Linked DNA regions of Macaca mulatta. The protein of the gene in region 1 interacts with the protein of each later gene in a pairwise test. Links are inferred from orthologs where the notes say so. Each region holds a gene or a part of one and is shown on either strand. Other genes may lie near its edges.

Region 1 (6,066 bases):
CCATATTGGGACTATGAGATGAAAAGCTGTATATGCATATTAAAAATGGCAGAGCAGAAAGATGGAAAGAGGCCTGTTTCCTGTTCCATCTGAGAATTTCCTATTCCCAGATTTCTTTGTTCTTTCTTTCTTTTTTTAAAAAATGGTGACAAGTGACTATTTGAAAACATTTCTTGAAACCATAAGATATTTCACAAGAAAAAAGAGTTGTCAAATGAAGCTAACTTTACAGCTTGGAGAGAACCATTTAGAAATAAAATTGATCATTAATTTGCCTTTTTGATGGAATGTTTTAATTTATAATTTTAGATATCTCTCCTTCTTGGATTCACTTTTTTTTTTTTTTGAGATGGAGTTTCACTCTTGTTGCCCAGGCTGGAGTGCAGTCGCGTGATATCAGCTCACGGCAACCTCCGCCTCTGGTTCAAGAGATTCCTCTGCCTCAGCCTCCTGAGTAACTGGGATTACAGGTCCTTGCCCCCAGGCCCAGCTAATTTTCATATTTTTAGTAGAGATGGGGTCACCATGGGGCCAGGCTGGTCTCGAACTCCTGACCTCAGGTGATCCACCCGCCTCGGCCTCCCAAAGTGCTGGAATTTCAGGCATGAGCCACTGCGCCTGGCCAGGATTGCCATTTTAATATAGTGTCACGTATTTTTAAAAATTTTAGATGCAAACAAATAAGTTATAGACTATTTCATTCTCTTGGATACAGGAATGGTATTAATCTCCCAGGTTTTTAGAGACAAATCCCTATGAGTTTAAGTCACTAGAATTGGATTTTCTGTTATTTGCAGCTGAATGTAATCCTGACTGATACAGGAAAGGTGACCAGTTAGGAAACTAATGCAGCTGCTCGTAAGTGACTTAAATGGGGGCAGAAAGGGTGGGGATTGGGCAGAGAGGACGGATTGAAAATGTAAATATGGTGAGTGTGTGTGTTCAGCCAAGTCTCAAATAGGATGGGGCTGTGTGGGTGGAATCCACTTAGGTACCACAGAAAACTATCCCTAGCCTTGAGGTATCAGGTAAGTCCGTAAGAGCGCCTGGGAAGCATGGGGTGGGAGAGATATGGTGAAAGTGGGTTACAGGAAGCAGACAGGGGATGTGTAGGGTCCCAAAGACTAACCTCACAATTTTCTTATTTAAAACATAATACTGGGTCCATGTAGAAATTTTAGAAAACCCAGTTAAGGAAAAAATTATTTAAGAAAACAAAAATCTTCCCAAATCACAGCACCCAGGGATAATAATCCCTGCTAACATTTTGGTGTATTTCTTTCCAGCCTCCATTCATTCTCCATCTCTCTCTCTTTCTCTCCCATTTTTCCCACATGGATGGGTATATACATGAATTGCTTAACAAAAATGTTATCATAATGCTGTTTTTCGATCTGTCCTAGTTTTTGCATTGGGCAATGCATTGGGAAGGCCCTCCCACATCATTAACATCATTTTAATGCTTACATGCATAGTATTACATTATGTGGATGTGTCTAAGATGCTTTATAAGTAGAACTTTAAAATTGCTTTTATTATCTCCCATTTCATATCACTTTTGGATGTGGTCTGCAAACCGTTGGAAGTGATTCTGGGATGGAAGGGAAGGTGGCATAGCGTTGTTCTTAGTTTTAGTGAGCTGATAGTTTGCTCAGGCTGTGATAGCGCGAAAACTTGCATCAGTATTTATATTCATTTTACTTCTATTTTGCCAGCTTGCTCTTCTCATGGAGCACGAGGAGTTAGTTACCTTGCCTTTTAGGGCAGTGGAAGGATTTTCCTCTTGGTGTAAACAGTGCGTGTTTGCACTGACATTTATTTACTTTTCTACGGCGTATAAAACCACTCCGTTGGCGCGCCATTTAGCTGGCAGGCATTGAAAATACAGAGAGAAGAGTAAAAGTTTTCATTTGAAGGTGTTTATTAAAAATAATCGAAAAGACAGAAGCACCCGCTTCCGCAGCGAGCAGGGTTCGAACCTGCGCGGGGAGACCCCATTGGATTTCAAGTCCAACGCCTTAACCACTCGGCCATCGCTGCCACGAGGAGATCAGAGAGGCGGAGACACTTTAGTGTAACAACCACTGCGCTCACGCCAGGCCCGCGAGCGGGCGGGGCACGCACCCTCTGAGCTCAGCTCGCCGAGAAGCGGCGGGGCTGAGGGCTCCGGGTGCGGGAACTACAGGGTAGACGCGAAGAAATAATAGAAACCACCCTGAGTAGAGGTACGTTCAGAACTTAGAAACTCTTCCCTTCGCTGTGCTTCGAAAATCGCAACCTTGCCTGGCTTCTGGTCGTTGACCTGGTTTTCGCCCTCCCGCTTCATTAAGTCTACCAGAGGGCCGTGAAACAAAAAGATCTGTTCTCTTACGTGCTGCGGGCCCGCGCTCCCGAAAATTTGGCATTTCTGCGAGAGAAGCGTCTTCCGCGGCGTTTCCCGCCTTGGCGGGGCGTCGCCTTCAGAACACTTTCTTCTGCGCATTGAGGCAGGAAGTGTGAGGAGTCGGGGTACTTGCCCGTGGGCTAGTCCCCCGCGGGCTTCTGCCCAAGCAGTCGTCTCCCATTTTTTAATTCTTCAGTGATCCCTTCATTGCCGAGCTCAGCTGGGAGACGTCAGGCCGCAAGTGTGCTCTCCGCTCTCCCAGGAGATGGGTGGCCGGGGACGTGGTCTGAGAACCAAGTTCTGCGCATTAGTCTGCATTCAATACCTTCAAATGCCATTAATGCCTTCTTGTGTTCTGTGTGGCTTCTGCCCTAGATGCTTTACCAGCGTTATTTCGTTAAAGCCTTGAGAACCGAGGTCTGGTCCTGTTGCCCACCTCAGGCCTGAGGCCCGGGGTTGTGCCGCAGGTTGGCGCGGCTGATTCCAGAGCGCCTCCGAAGCCACTACCTGCGTCACGTGGCGCCACAGAAGCGCCAAGTTCTGTTGATGGACAATTTGAGAAAAATAACAGAAGGCCTTTCACTAGTTTAAGTTTCTAGGAGTATTCATGGAAACTCACTGCCCTTCTCATAATGGTACGTTTCATAATAAGGCAGGAAGGCAGCTCCACCTTTGGAAGCCTCTGTGTTGTGGTTCTGCTAGTTAAGGTGTGTAACTTTTCTTGAGACCTTCCATACCATTTCTCGAAACCAAAGTGTATTGTTAAATGTCTACACCCATTTAATTGTGGAAGAGGAGCAGAATATTTGAGAATTGTGAGGATAAATTTTGTCTGATTTGAGATTGTTCTTTCAGGAATTTTATTCTTTTATTTTGGCAGAGCTACAGGAGGGATCCCATTTTCTCTATGAATACTGCATGGGAACAAAATAATTCCCAATATGGCCAGGCATGGATTTTATCATAAACACAAAATTCACTTGCACTTTTTCCAATAGGTATTGTGCAAGAACATTTTTGTTTTTTAAATCTTGTCCTTAGATTGTACCTATGTAGCAGGACAAGCTGCAGACAAAATTCCTCAGACCCGGAGTTAAAGAAGGAAGGGCTTTATTCAGCTGGGAGCATTGGCAAGACTCACTTCTCAAAAACCAAGCTCCCTGAGTGAGCAATTCCTGTCCATCTTAACGGCTTACAACTCTAAGGGGGTCTGCGTGAGAGGGTCATGATGGATTGAGCAAGCAGGGGGTACATGACTGGGGGCTGCATGTGCCAGTAATTAGAACAGAATAGAACAGGACAGGAATTTTCACAGTGCTTTTCTATACAATGTCTGTAATCTATAGATAACATAACCGATCGGGGTTGATCTTTAACTACCAGGCCCAGGGTGTGGCGCTGGGCTGTCTGCCAGTGGATTTCATTTCTGCCTTTTAGTTTTTACTTCTTTCTTTGGAGGCAGAAATTGGGCATAAGACAATATGAGGGGTAACCTCCTCCCTTACCTATGCCCTGAGATAACCTAGAATTTAACTTTACCTAATTTTACTCATTGTATTTTGATCTTGAAGCCATTTTTATCTTTCCTTCTGTGCAGTTGAATGATGATAATGTTTACTGAAAGCTCCTTTTCTTCCATAACCTTTCCTTTCCCTTTAAAGAATCCCTTCAATTGCTTCAAAGCTTGACAGTAATGGAAATTGATTATGGTTAAAATTGCTCAATCAAAATTTTTACTTTCAGAGGGCTTTCTTTATTTTGGGAGGGGAAAGCAAGACTATGGGGAAAATAATCGATTATAAAGTTATTGTATATTTTGTGAGAACAATTGTGATTAAAATGTCTTTGCAACATTTCAAGTGAAATACCTATATTTAATATTTAACTTTTAGCTTGTTTGAGTTAATGTAGGCTTTTAAAACAGTGAAATAATTTTTTTCTTTGCTGATTTATTATAATGCTAGAATGAGCCAAGAGATCAAAATTGTTGATTCCTCTCACCACCCCCCCCTGCAAAAGTGTGAATTTCCAAATCCAAATGAGTTCTTTTGGCTCCAACCTTAAGTCTTTAGCATTGTCATTTAATGCAGTAAGCAGCAAGTTAGGAATACAGAAGTAAAATACATATGTTCCTAATTCATGACAATCATATCATAAAACATTGTTTTGCAACCATATACAAATTTCAGTTGGTAAAGGTCCACTGGTGATCCTGATGGTCTCCTCCCTGCCACTCCCTGTTTCTGTTTTTTTAATGTGGCAGTTTTTATTAAGCTAATTTGGGTGTGGAAGGCAAATATGTTGTGACTTTCTCAGAAAACCCTTCTTGGTGCCATATTCAGAGGCAGACAGAATACTGGGAGGAACAGGGGATGTGATTGGGAGCAGTATGGCATTTCTTTTTTCTTTTATAGCAAATCAGAAATTTATTTTAAATTATTTTGATGGTTTTGGGAGCATTTTGTAAAATCATAGAATTTTAATGCTGGAAGAACCATTAAAGCTGGTCCAATCTCTTCATCTACAGGAGGAAACTGTGGCCATGAATAGCTTGCCCAAGTTCACATAGCTAATTACAGTCATGTGCCTCATAATGACATTTGGGTCAATGGTGGACCACATATACAGCAGTAGTCCCATAAAACTTTAATACTGTGTTTTCACTGTATCTTTTTTATGTTTATACACACAAACACTATTGTGTTACGGTTGCCTACGGAATATGCTGTACAGGTTTGTAGTCTAGGAGCATAGGCTACACCAGTGGTCCCCAACCTTTTTGGCACCAAAGACCAGTTTTGTTGAAGACAGTTTTCCACAGACTGGGGGAGGGAGGATGGTTTTGGGATGATTTAAGTGCATTACATTTATTGTGTACTTTATTTCTATTATTATTACATTGTAATATATAATGAAATACACAACTCACCATAAAGTAGAATCAGTGGGAGCCCTGAGATTGTTTTCCTGCAACTAGACAGTCCCATCTGGGGGTGATGGGAGGCAGTGACAGATCATCAGGCATTAGATTCTCATAAGGAACACACAACCTACATCACAGTAGGTTGTGCACTTTACAGTAGGGTTCATGCTCCTATGAGAATCTAATGCTGATCTGATAGGAGGTAGAGCTCAGGTCGTAATGTGAGCAATGGGGAATGGTTGTAAATACAGATGAAGCTTTTCTCTCTCACCTGCTCACCTCCTAGGGTACCAGTTGGGGACCCTAGGGGCTATATTATGTAGACTAAGTGTGTGGTAGTCCATACCATCTAGGTTAGTGTAAGTACACTCTATAATGTTTGCACAATGAGGAAATCATCTAAGGATGGATTTTTCAGAACATATCCTTATCATTAAGCGACACGAGTGTATTGGCAGACAGAGGTATAACTTGTAATAGTAGCTTAGTGTTCTCTCTCATTTTGTTGCCCTCATGTATTATTTGTTAGTCTCTGGCACAATGGCATATAAATTGAGATGTATAGATGGCAGTAGACAAAGCCTCCAGTAGGGAAGAGTCATGAGTTGAATGTTGAAGGCATATGAGATGTCAGATAATGAATGTGTTGTGATGGGTCATTTTTGTTTTTTATTCCAGAATCTATCCTCCCAACTGATACTGACACCTCAATTGTACTTAAGGGGCACCACCCCTCCGCCATTGGATGAAATGTTACTTT
Region 2 (6,018 bases), on another chromosome or scaffold:
TGGGCAGGAGGGGGAAGAAATGAAACCCTGGCAGCTGCAGCAGTCCAGGATTGTGAGCCCATTCCCCCCCCCAGCTGTGGCCTGGCTACAGCTCTGTGTGCCAGGGTGACAAGCAAGTGGATGGGGCAGGGATAAGGCAGGGAATAAGACAGGGAGGTAAGCTGGAGGATCGGGAGTTGGGGAAACAGGCAAAGGGCAGTGGCCCTGGTTATGGGATGGCCAATAGTTCAGGGGTGTCCGTATCTCCCTGGCCCTGCTTTTGGATGGTGCAACTTCAGAAGGGAGAATGTTCAGCTACCATTCCTTTCTCCGGTGGGGAAAGTGGTCAAGGACGCTGCTAAGGTACCTTCATCCAGCCCCTCCTGTGTGCTAGCTTTGGAGCTGTAGTGCTTTGTTGCCAGGGGACCTTTTTCTAAACCACCACTCCCCCAACACCCACCCACACAGGCTGCTTCTGCTTATCCTTCTATGATCTCTTTGAAGGTTGGGATCATTTTTATATTCTGTGTCACCAGATTTTATTTTCTGTGTTCACCAGTGCCTAACATAGAGTTGACACTGAATACTCAAGTGCTGAATGAAGGAATGTTTGTAGGGTCCTTGGCACACCATACAACCACGACCAGCATTCATGTCATCAACCACAGAAAGGAAGTGCCCTTGTCTTCTTAAGCTGCCTGTGAAAAGTTCTTTTTATGTTTTTGAGACAGAGTCTCACTCCGTCGTCCAGGCTGGAGTGCAATGGCATGATCTCAGCTCACTCCGCCTCCCAGGTTCAAGTGATTCTTCTGCCTCAGCCTCTTGAGTAGCTGGGATTACAGGTGCCCGCTGCCATGCCGGCTATTTTTTGTAGTTTTAGTAGAGACGGGGGTTTCACCATGTTGGCCAGTCCGGTCTCAAACTCCCAACCTCAGGTGATCTGCCTGCCTCAGCCTCTCAAAGTGTTGGGATTACAGGCGCCCACCACCATGCCTGGCTAATTTTTGTATTTTTAGTAGAGACGAGGTTTCACCATGTTGGCCAGACTGGTCTTGAACTCCTGACCTCAAGTGATCTGCCCACCTTGGCCTCCCAAAGTGCTGGGATTACAGGCATAAGCCACCACACCTGGCCGAGAAGTTCTTTCTGATCTCTACCCCAGGCTCTCCTATCGTGGAGGGATGTGCTACCCAGTTTCTTTTTTTCTTTTTCTTTTTGTTTGAGATGGAGTCTCACTCTGTCACGCTGAGGCCGGAGTGCAGTGACATGATCTCAGCTCACTGCAACCTCCGCCTCCCGGGCTCAAGCAATTCTCCTGCCTCAGTCTCCCAAGCAGCTGGGATTATAGTTGCCCGCCACCACGCCCAGCTAATTTTTTGTATTTTTAGTAGATATGGAGTTTCACCATATTGGCCAGGCTGGTGTTGATCTCCCGACCTCAGGTTATCCACCCACCTTGGCCTGCCCCGTTTCTTTCATGCCTGGGTTTCTTTCAGATCTGCTGCTTGATGTTTCCAAACCCATCAAAGCCTCCTGACACCAATACTGTATTTTTGTGCCAATTAATTGTTCTGTCTCTCCTCCCAGTGTTTGTGCCTTTTCTCTGCCCCTTCCCCCATTGCCTTGACATTTTATGTCTATGCATTTTATGTTCCATGAAGGGAACAGCTGGTTCGATGGTCCTTCAAATGAGAAGGAGGTTCTAGCTTGGGGTGTGCCACTTTGTAGTTTTGTGACTTATCTGAACCTCGGTTTCTTCATCTTTACAATGAGGGTCGTTTTCTCATCTTAACTATTTTTTCAGAGCTGTCACAATAATTAAAACAAAAATACCATTAATTTAAATTCTAACCTTTAGCAGTTTCCGAGTGCTTTCACAAACCTGACTTCATTTAATCCCCACATACTCCAGTGAGGTAGATACGGCTAATGTATCCAGTTTACAGATGAGGAGAAACAGGGTGAAGTAACTTGTCTAAGATCATACTAAGTGGGAGAACACAAACCCTGGCCTTCTAATTCTAAATCCCAGGAGTACTCCATCTTTGGGGGGAAAAAATCCCAACCCAGCACAAAGCCTATGAAATGCTATACAAATATGTGATTACTACTTTGGGGCAAGGATGAATAAGCCCAAAGAAGCATCATGCTTGACGCTGAGTTGGCTGGCCGGTGAAGGCGTCTGTCCCTTCCCTTAGTATCCCCTGACTTACCTGTTGGACAGGTAGGGGGAAGGGGAGAGTAATGAGTCTCACCTGCTCAGAGCAAGGGTGGGGCAAGACACACCCCATCCCTTCCATTGGTTTTTTCCTTAGTCTTACTGACAGCCCCTTGTCCAATCAGGAGGAAGTAACTTTCTATCTGCCAATAGGTGCAGTGTTAGGATGAGACCTCAAGTTAGAGTCCATCCCTAGAGCCGACTGGCAGTCCCTGGGGCCAATGGCAAGCGGATAAACAGAGGCGGCCGTGGAAGAGGACTGGAGGTGAGGCTCCGCCCCTCGACGGGACAGTCAGGCGAGACAGCCAGTGAGCTCGCACCAGAGGGTGGGCGTCACCCCCAGGGGCGGAGCTTCGAGGTGGCGAGGGGCGTGGCTTGGCTGTCAGGTCTCTTTGCCTTTTGTTCGGTTACTGAGTTGCTGCCTTGGCCAGAGTCCGGAGCAGCCGCCGCCCGACCACGCCGAGCTCAGTTAGCTGCCTGCGCCGGCTCCCACCCCGGCCCGACCCCGACCCGGCCCGGCCAGGCCCCATACTAAGGTGCGGGCGATTGGGAGCAGGTATCGCTGGGGAGAGAAGGGGTGGCGAGCGCCCGCGAGGCCGGTCCCTGCCGTCTCTGGGCAGGTGAGGGCGGGTGCCATGGAGCGCCACCCTGCACCGGCGGCAGGGGGCGCGCTGGGGTCCTGGGCGCGGCGACCTGGGGGTCGCGCGGTTTGGGCAGAGCGCGCCTGGGAGCTCCGCGAGCCAGAGATCTGAGCAGGGCGGGAGGGATCCGGACAGGTGCCTCCGGAGTCGTGCCTCCCCCGGGGCCCGCGCCCCTCGCCCGACGCCGCGTCCCTGACTCTCGCCCTGAGCTGGTGGGGGAGACTTTGCCCTGCTTTGACTGCGTCCCAGGGCTCACGCTGCAGTCAGGAATTTACCGTTTGGGAAACTTGCTGTCGCTGGTCTCTGGGGCCACTCTCACCCCACCCCACGCGTCATCCTCGCTTTCCCTCCCTCCCTACTCCCCCAGGCCTGGGTGGGGCCCTATTGTCTGCGCCCAGCTTGCCCAACTGTGGGGGCCGAGCACACATTTTCCTAGCGACGCTGGCCCCACCTGCCGAGCAGGTGAGCGCACGGAGTCCAGAGGCCCTGCCCTCCAACTCCCAGAGCCTCGTCCATACTACCTGCGGCGCCTCCCTCCACTCCGGTGGGAGCCGGGCTCTGGCTTCTTCAGCGGAGGTGGGATGGAGTGACAGTGGTGGGTGCAGGGCTCGACCCAGTGTCCAGCTGGTGTGTCTGGCATCCGTGGCTCGCCCTGGAGTCTGGGGGGTGGGGTCTGTGCACGGATGAAGAATTCAGGGTCACCTGGCCCAGTTTCCAGTAGCTGTGGTTGCTAGAGTGTTGGTAGGGGAACAGGACCCGTCTTCTTCTCTAACCTCTTATTGTTGGAAAAATCACCCAAAACAAACTTTGCAGGAGGAAGTATTCACAGCAGCTTGATCTGGGGGTTTTCCTGTCTCCTTGCCCAAAACTTCCTTTAGGCTTAGGGGGTCCTTCTTGGTGCAAAGCCCCTTCCCCTAGCCGGCCCCTGGCTGAACCTGGGCGGGTGCCTGCGCTCCGACCCTGTCTTCCCTGCCCCCACCTTCATCCTCTTCGCTGGGCCCCAGGGGCCTGAGGTGGGGGCCGGGGTGGGGGGTGGAAAGTGCTGAGAGGGGAAGCAGCTTCTTCCTTCTCTTCCTGCCTCCGGGGACCACCACACCCCCTCAGACGAGGCCTGCGTAAGCGGCTCTCTCTCTCAAGCTCTGCCCCCTCCCCAGGAATGGGGGTGGGGCAGGGCTGGGCCAAACTGAGGAAGGTGGGGGGAGTGGTTGTTCTTGTCTTTTTTTTTTTCTCTACCCCATCCCCCACATTACTTAGCTGGCTGGTAATTGAGGCAAAAGAGCATGAGGCTGTGGGACTTGCCTTCCATTTGATTTCTGAATTATGAAGGTGCATGCTTTCTGGAGGCCTGCACAGACCTTTCCCACCCCCTTTCCTGAAAGAATTTGACAGGGAAAGTGAGACCGGAGGAAGGCTTTTTGGGGGAAGGTTTCTTCAGTGCTAGACTCCCTCAGGCAGAGCTGCATCGGGCCCCTGCCTTCCCTGCTCCCAATTTCCTGAGACCCCCCCTACCCTCCCGAATTGGGAATCTTGACCAGGCTTTCTACCCCGGTTTAAAAAACAATCTGAAGTGTGGTCTTTTTGCAGGATTTGGAGCCCAGCCTCCTTGGGGAACAGAGAGAGAATACCACAGTTGGGTTCTCTCTCAGTCCTGGGGGTGGGAGAAAGATTGCGGGGAGCGGGGATGGAGAGTGCTTGGAGGGGGAGAGTCTACCACCTCTTTCTTTGTTGTAGATGGGGGAGTGAGGCTGGGGGCCCAGACTCAGCCCCTTTATCCTGGGTGGGGATCACGCTCAGCCCGGGGCTAGGGGGAAGTCAGTGTGGGAACTCAGATCCTTTTCTGCTGGAGGAGGGGGGCGGTGCACCTCTGGGGAGCAACAGGAGCACGGAGTTTGGGCAAAAATAACCTGCTTTCCCTCTTCTCCCTGCCAAGGTGGAGGAGGGGAGGGCATTGTAATTATGTTGGCTAAATGATTAGTTTAGCTAATCTGGTTTGTGGCTGTGATGAAAAGATAATACTGAGGAAGTACTACTAGGAGGTGCCTGGTGAAAACTGGCCACTGACTGGACTGGGGGACGCGGAGGAGGAGAAGGTAGGACCCAATTAGTCATTTCTTGCTAGATCAAGCCCCAGCTTGGGTGATTTGAGCCCTCCCACCCCCACTCCACCCCTCCCTTGCACCCTGGCTCCACTCCATTCCCTCTGGAACCTCTGGGCTGCCAGGGCTGAGGCTTTGAGAATGCAGTGTATAGGAACGAAAAAGGTCGGGCTAGGGCTGCCAACCTTCTTCCCTTCCTGGAGCCACCTTAGAATGAGATCGGTCAATTGACTAGTCTACAGAAGGACTGTTTATTTGGAGAGATGGGACAGTGGGGCAGTTCTGAGCACAGGGCTTTGGGCTTGAACTGAGCTGGGTTTGAGAACCAGCTCTGTCTCTCATTACATTGCCTGAGTCTCAGTGACTTCTTTGGCAAAATGGGAATACAACACCTATCTACCCGGTAAGTACTTGACAAATGGTAACTCAAGATCAAGGTCAGACTTTACAGAAACCAAGCACTTTCTTTTTCTTTTTGTTTTTTTTTGAGGTGGAGTCTCGCTCTGTCACCTAGGCTCACTGCAACCTCCGCCTCCTAGGTTCAAGCGATTCTCCTGCCTCAGCCTCCTGAGTAGCTGGGATTACAGGTGCGTGCCACCACGTCCGGCTAATTTTTGTATTTTTAGTAGAGATGGGGTTTCACCATGTTGCGCAGGCTGGTCTTGATCTACTGACCTTGTGATTCGCCTGCCTCGGCCTCCCAAAAGTGCTGGGATTATAGGCGTAAGCCACCTCACCTGGCCCAAACCAAGCACTTTCATTAACTATTCTTACTTAATCCTTATGGCTGAACAGGCTGGATGGCTCAAACCTGTAATCCCAGCATATTAGGAGGCCCACAAGGGCGGATTGCTTGATTGAGCCCAGGAATTCCAGACCAGTCTGGGCAACATGGTGAAACCCTGTCTCTACAAAAAATAGAAAAATTAGCCGGGCATGGTGGTGCATGCCTATGGTCCCAGCTACTGGAAGGGTTGAGGTGGGAGGATTACCTGAGCCCAGGGAGGTCAAGGCTGCAGTGAGCTGTGTCACTGTATTCCAGCCTGGGCAACAGAGTGAGTCCCTGACTCAAAAAAATAAAATA
Region 3 (6,240 bases), on another chromosome or scaffold:
ATGTCATCAAAACTGCGGAGCCAGGGGTCAAGAGTCAGGCTAACTTTGGGTTCAGGCTGGGCCTGTGGCAGAAGCCCCCTCCCTGTGCCAGGCCCAGACACTCACCCGCTGCTGAGTCTCTGCAGGGTTCGGTGGCCACAGTAGCTGTTGAACCCACGCACGTCCGGCAGGTGGCCCGAGTCAGCCAGGCTGAGGCTGCGCACAGATGGCGCTCGGGCCACAGGCTCCAGGATGGCCCCCGGCGCTGCCCCACCTACCCCGCGGCTCCGGTGGCTGCTCTGGAATCGCTGCAGGGTCCGCATGGCAGGGGCACGGATGGTCCGGCTCGGGGAAACCTCGGCGGCCTCGGGCCAGTCCAGCCCCCCTGCCCGGCTGGAGCTGGAGCTGGCCTGGCGCTCGTAGGCAAAGCCCCTGTAGGTGGAGGTGGCTGCAGGCTCCAGCTGCTCAGACACCAGGCTGTAGCGGTCGTCCAGGCCCCCGGACCCCAGCCGCAGCGAGCGCAGGGACAGTGTGTCATAGTCGGCCCGGCTGCCAACCCCACTGCGCTCGTGGAAGGACACAGGCCTGGCGGGCATGGGAGGGGTGGGCTGAGCACCCCCGTACCCAGTGGCCCCAAAGGCGCTGCCCCCGTTGTGGGCAGAACTCAGCCTCCGACTGCAGCTCAGGTCTACGGCGGAGCGGGAGGACCAGGAGGCTGGGCTGCAGGCTGGCTTGGCGATGGGCCGGAAGCCCTGTGGGTCGAGAGGGGGCAGTGAGGACGTGCCTGGGCTCACCTGCGTCCAGCCCTGCCGCAGAGCCTCCCCCTCTCCGAACTGCAGAGCTCAGATTGTCCCCCTCGGGCTGGGCCCGTTGCTCACCGAGGTCTTGTCCCCACTCAGGCCCTGAGAGCGAGAGCTGAAGCCAGACTGCAGGGTGTGGTACTGCCCCCAGGATGTGCCTGTGGAGAGGGACGGTGGTAGCCCAGCTCTGCCACACGGCAAAGCCCCGGCCTCCTGCCTCCTCCCCACTCCATCGCTATTCGCAACCCCAGGAGCAGCCTCCAATCCAGGGCAGGGAGGCCAGGGGCTTCGGGGCCAGGACCTCCCCATTCCTGCCATGGCCTGGTCTCCTCACATGTCAGCCCTGGTGGTCCACCTTCCACAGCCCACCCCCCAGCTGTGCCTCCTCTGCCCAAGAAGGCAGATGCGCTCACCCACTGACCTCCTGGTCGCCTGGAGGAATGTGCCAGGGACTCTGACATCAGTTCTCCAATCCCTGCCATGGTACAGCGCCCAGCCTCCTCCTCCAGGAAGCCAACCTGGCCTGCCCCAACTCACACTGACTCCTTTTGAGCCCCTCCTGTGCCCAAATCTCATCTGTGCCCAGTCACAGGAGAGTGACACTGTCTCCCTGGACCAGTATGCCCTGTTGCAGTGCTCTCTCCCATCCGGCAGAGCCCGAGGCAGGGGCCACACCCACCCCGTCCAGCCACACACACGCCAAGGGCAGCTGCGTCAGCCCGACTCCACAGTGAGTGGACAGACAGGCGGGTGGACAGAGGGCGGAGGGCGGAGGGTGGATGGAGAGACAGGCAGGAGGAGGATGGGAGGGCTGCTGTGACTGTTGGAAGGATGGACAGAGTGGTGGACGGAGGGGTGGGAGAGCCGGCGACAATGGTGGGTCCCGCAGGTGGATGGTGAGTGGGGAGAGGGATGGACTCGTGGGTGGGTGCAGAGAGGACGGGCTGATGGCGGGGGCATGAGAAGGCCCAGCAGAGCGACCACTGGCTGAGGGGCTCAGTGTGGGGTACAGGGAAGGGGGCCATGGCCCTCCCACAACTCTGCCCAGAGCTGGATGCTCTGTTGGGTACACCCCCACAGCAGGGGCCCCAGACTCACCCTGGTTAATGGGGCTTCTGGGCCGGGGCTATTAACTCTCTGACGCTGGTGAGGCCCAGCCCGGAGTAGGGGCACGCCCCAGCCTGGGGACCTCACCCCCACCCCCCAATTATAATCCACCCCCCTCTAATTGGCAGGGTAGCCAGGGTGGTAATTAACCCTTCCCTCACCGTCCTCCACCCCATGACCCCTGGGCACCCAACTTGGTCACCAGCAAGGCTGAGGCCCCTGAAGGGAGGACCCCACAGTCCAGGCCGCCGGGCCGGCCCTTCCGCTGGGTGACCTTCACTTCCCCCTGGCCAGTAGCTGGAGACCAGTCCTGGGGGTCCCCTCTAAACACCACGATGAACTGGCATCTGGGTCCCTGGCATTCTGGGAGGTTCCTCTTACTGTCTGACCTTAATCCCTGTTGCTGTAGCTGGCGAAGGAGGAAATGACGTTCTAGAACCACTGCCCTCAACCACAGCATCTGCGTGCTCCTGTCACTCACACTCACACGCATGCACACGCACTCGCGTGAGTGGGGCCAGGATTCCGCCACAGGTGGGTCTGGCTGGCACTGAGGGGTGCTCCTCCACCTGCTGTTCCCACAGAGAAATCTGGGTCACTCCAGTGGGGCCCTCCCCTCTAATTCCTCAGGGAGCCCCTGGTCCAGACAGGCCTGGCTTTCCTCCAGGACTTCCCAGCCCCCCCACACCTCTCCCCGCTTTCCTGTTCTGCTCATTCCCATGAGGTGTGGGAGAAGCGTGGGTGTCTGGGTGTCCCTGAGACCGTGCGTGAGCCTGTGCTTCTGGGGCAGTCGCGTGCGTGCTCCGGGTTTGCCGATTGAGGGGCCTGGCCCGCCTGCCGTGTGCCAGCCTTCCCTGTCATCCCCCACGGGGGAGGCTCTAGGCTGAGGACACAGGTGGGACCTGGCCAGGCTCTGTCCCTGGAGGACCCGGGGGTCCTTGCTTGGATGGGGAGCCCCACCCATGGCTTCTCCCCACGCCCGCTGGGGCGGGGTGCGTGACTCAGTGTGAGGCCTGGTGAGTCAGGAGCCAGCCTCACTGCGGCCTCTGCCCTCGCCCTACCACCTCCGCCCGCAGACACCTCTCTCCGCCACCATCGTCCCCGCCGCGGTCCCCTCTGCCCGGCACCTGCCTTGTGCCTTGGCCTACCTCTGGCAGTCTCCGCCTCAGGCTTGGGCTCAGCGGCCCCGTTGTGCCGCGGCTGCTGTCCCAGCTGCAAGAGGCGGGCGCGGACCTGCTCCTGGACGCGGGCCGCCCGCAGCCGCTCGGCCTCCGGCCCCTCGGCGCCCCGGCGGTCCAGCTGCAGGTCAGAGGGCAGCGCCAGGGAGCACACACCGGCCTCGGGCTGCAGGGCCGACAGCAGGAAGTTACCATCCTGCATGGCGGCAGGTCCACCGGGCCTAGGCCTGGCGGCCGCCTCCAAACTCAACTATCTTCACGTCCTGTCCCTCCAGGCCCTCTCCCTGAAGTCCCCGCCCCGCCAGCCTCACCCAGGGCCGCCTGGAGACAGACGCCTGCCCAGCCCTGAGCGCAGCTGGGGGCGGGGACACCTGGCCAGGTGGGAGGGAGGGGCCACCGCCTGCTTAAGGTGGAATTTGGGCGGAAGAACAGGCCCTGCATGGCCCCAGGTCCCAGCCTGGCCTCCTGCCTCCTTTTCTCCCATCCCACGACAGGGCCACGGGGGCCCTGGGTCCTTCTTGTTCTCAGCCTGTAAAGGCCGGACCGAGCCCTCTGTTGTGGGGCTGGGACAGAGGGGCCCTCTGTGTCCCGAGTGTCAGGGAAGGGCAGAGGTCCTGAGGGGGCCTATGTCCTGCCACCCCCAACATGAAGGGGAGGGTGTCCCACCCCCTGGGGGGTCTAGGGCCCTAGGTAGCTCCAAGGACCAGACAGCCTCCACGGTAGCCCAGCCTTGCTGGTGAGGCGGGGATGAGGCCTAGGAAGGGGTTGGCAGGAGACACTGTGGGGGGCCAGGGGTCAGTGCCGGGGTCAGGACACAGGATGGAGGGACGGAGCTTTAGGGTCCAACCGGACTCCATGGAGGCCCTGGTGCTTGGAACCCAGAGAGCCCCCTCCCCACAGGAAGCGTGTGGATGGACCGGCCCTCCCCCGAGGCCTGCCGACCCTGGAACTCACCCTCAGGACCCCCTCACCCCCCACAGAGGCCTCCAAAGGGCTGACTTGACCCTCTCTGGCTTCTGGGACCCTGGCACCACTGCTCCTGCCCCCCAGGCCCTCGGGTGGGAGGCCGTTCCCAGCACATGAGTCAGGGTGCAGGGGGCGGGGCTGCCCCAGGGGGTTGACTCAGAGGGGCCTGCACTCCTGTCAGCGCATGCCAGGTTGGGGCAGGAGCGGTGTGCGCTGAAGAACCAGGGGGTCTGGGAGAGCAGAGGCCGGGATGGAGAGGGAGTGAGGGTGGGGTGTGCGGGGAAGAACCAGGGGTCTGGGAGAGCAGTGGCTGGGATGGAGAGGGAGTGAGGGTGGGGGTGTGCGGGGAAGAACCAGGGGGTCTGGGAGAGCAGTGGCCGGGATGGAGAGGGAGTGAGGGTGGGGGTGGGGTGGCGGGGGAGGCCCAGACCAAGCAGGGCTTGTGCCCAGAAGGTCTCCTTCGAGCACCACAGCCAGTGGAGCCAGCAGGCAGGTTCTGAGGCCCTCTGGCCTCCGGGACAGGCCCCTGGTAGATGGGGGGGGTGGGGATAAGCCTAGGAGGGCTGGGGGTGGGAGCTGAACATCTTGACAACCCCTGGGCTTCTCTTATGAGCTCATCTGACAGCCTCTGCCTCTCTCTGGACCCTGGACCCGGGCTCTGGGCTCTCCTCTCGGGCATACCCTTCCCCTCAGTGAGGGTGGATCCAGGGTTAGGAGGCAGCATTAAGGGTGAGGTCAGTGCTGAGGGGAAGGAAGCTAGAGGTGGGAGTCGGAAATCAGCGTTGGGGGCTAAAGGGGGAGGGGAGGGCCCACTGAAAGGACAGGCGAGGCCTGGGCTGGGCCACCAGGTGGGGTCGGGGTGGTGGGGCAGGGGTGGGAGACCTACCCTGCCCATGGTCCGGATCCCGCCAGCCTCCCAGCTCATTCCAGAGGCCACTGCTGACAGCTGAGGTGTCCCGGGCTCCATCCCTGGCCTGGCGCGTGCGGGGCAGCCTCTGCGGTGGGACAGGACTGTGGGGGCCCCGGAGGGCGGGGTGGGAACGCCCAGCTCATCAGACTGGCTGATTCCCTGGGAGACGGGTTTCGTGTGGAAAAATCCTGGGAGACAAGTTTGTGCGGCACAGAGCGGGCCTGGAGGTATGTGCCTGGCATGGACTGGGCCCCGCCCTGCATCCAGGTCCACCCCAGGCCCACCTGGGGCCCTGCAGAGGCCAGGCGGGGCCGCGTGGCAGGGGAAGCCAGCCTGGAGGGCCTCTGCCGACCTTCCCTCCTCCCCTTGGCAGAGAGGGCTGCGGGTGTCCCCCAAGAGCTGCGGCGCCTCCCGGAGGATGCATGGTCCCTGCCAGGCACAGTTTTGGCAAAGCCAGGAATCTGGGGTGCACCTTCCCTCACCGCAGTCAGGCCAGAGGGATGGCGATGCCTGCTAGACCACCGCTGCAGCTTCCAGCCCCAGGCTCAGAGGAGTCTTATCTGAGCCCTGTGACCAGCCCCGAGTGTCTCGCTCTCCCTGGAGCCAGTTCCTGGCACAGGAGCCCTGGACGAGGGCTTGGTGGTGGGCTTCCTGGAGGAGGCGGTGGGCTTCCTGGAGGAGGCGGTTGTCTGTGGGGCCTGGAATCTGCATGTAGCCTCAGGTCGCTCTGGGTGCACAATCAGGTTGAGAACCCGGAACGTGAGGGCCTCGAAGGGTGAGTGAGCACTGCTCTTGGATCCCAGGTGGCAGGTGGCCTGTCAATCACCTCCCAAGAGGAGGTGGGAGAGGGCGCAGGAGGGCTTCGGGGTGCGGTGGGCTCAGCGTGGGGGGCATGGGAGGCACTCACGGAGAAGGTGGGCTGGGCCCAGGTCGGGGGTAGAGCTGCCAGGTGCATGCCTGGAGTTGTGGGAGGGCACATACTCAAGTCTACAGGGCAGAGCCTGCCTGGATGGAGGGGGATGGGGTGGGAGCCTTAAGGAGCAGAAGGGGGAGGATCTGGGGAGAAAGGTGTGAGGACGTTAGAAGCAAAATAATAGTCAAAACCGAATTCAGGAGTGTGCTGGTGCACAGAGAGGCTTGGGAGGCTGCCTCAGGTCCCACCGCCTGCAGCGGCGGGGTGGGGAGTGCATTCCCCAATGCCCTTGGTGGTTGATGGACCTAGTGTGGGGGCACAGTTCACCCAGAGGCAAGCGTCCTGGTGCTTCCTGTTGGCGCCCACGCTTTGCAAACCTTCTGACCT

The links. The genes of interacting proteins can lie anywhere in the genome.
Region 2: the proteins of CTNNA3 (region 1) and JUP interact in binary tests that used the Homo sapiens proteins (3 or more experiments, as listed by UniProt). The link is inferred for Macaca mulatta from reciprocal best matches to the Homo sapiens genes CTNNA3 and JUP.
Region 3: the proteins of CTNNA3 (region 1) and PKP3 interact in a two-hybrid assay, tested with the Homo sapiens proteins (2 studies listed by IntAct). The link is inferred for Macaca mulatta from reciprocal best matches to the Homo sapiens genes CTNNA3 and PKP3.

What each region holds. Positions count from the first base shown.
Region 1 is NC_133414.1:82,012,902-82,018,967, forward strand, and holds the start of CTNNA3 (catenin alpha-3), read left to right. Parts: upstream 1-2,122; 5' UTR 2,123-2,225; intron 2,226-5,984; 5' UTR 5,985-6,051; coding exon 6,052-6,066. UniProt on the Homo sapiens protein: May be involved in formation of stretch-resistant cell-cell adhesion complexes.
Region 2 is NC_133421.1:66,113,366-66,119,383, reverse strand, and holds the start of JUP (junction plakoglobin), read left to right. Parts: upstream 1-2,630; 5' UTR 2,631-2,733; exon of another isoform or gene 2,734-5,395; intron 5,396-5,835; exon of another isoform or gene 5,836-6,018. UniProt on the Homo sapiens protein: Common junctional plaque protein. The membrane-associated plaques are architectural elements in an important strategic position to influence the arrangement and function of both the cytoskeleton and the cells within the tissue.
Region 3 is NC_133419.1:290,492-296,731, reverse strand, and holds the start of PKP3 (plakophilin-3), read right to left. Parts: upstream 3,389-6,240; 5' UTR 3,267-3,388; coding exon of another isoform or gene 3,260-3,266; coding exon 3,035-3,259; intron 2,459-3,034; coding exon 2,368-2,458; exon of another isoform or gene 2,276-2,367; intron 938-2,275; coding exon 858-937; intron 732-857; coding exon 106-731; intron 13-105; coding exon 1-12. UniProt on the Homo sapiens protein: A component of desmosome cell-cell junctions which are required for positive regulation of cellular adhesion. Required for the localization of DSG2, DSP and PKP2 to mature desmosome junctions.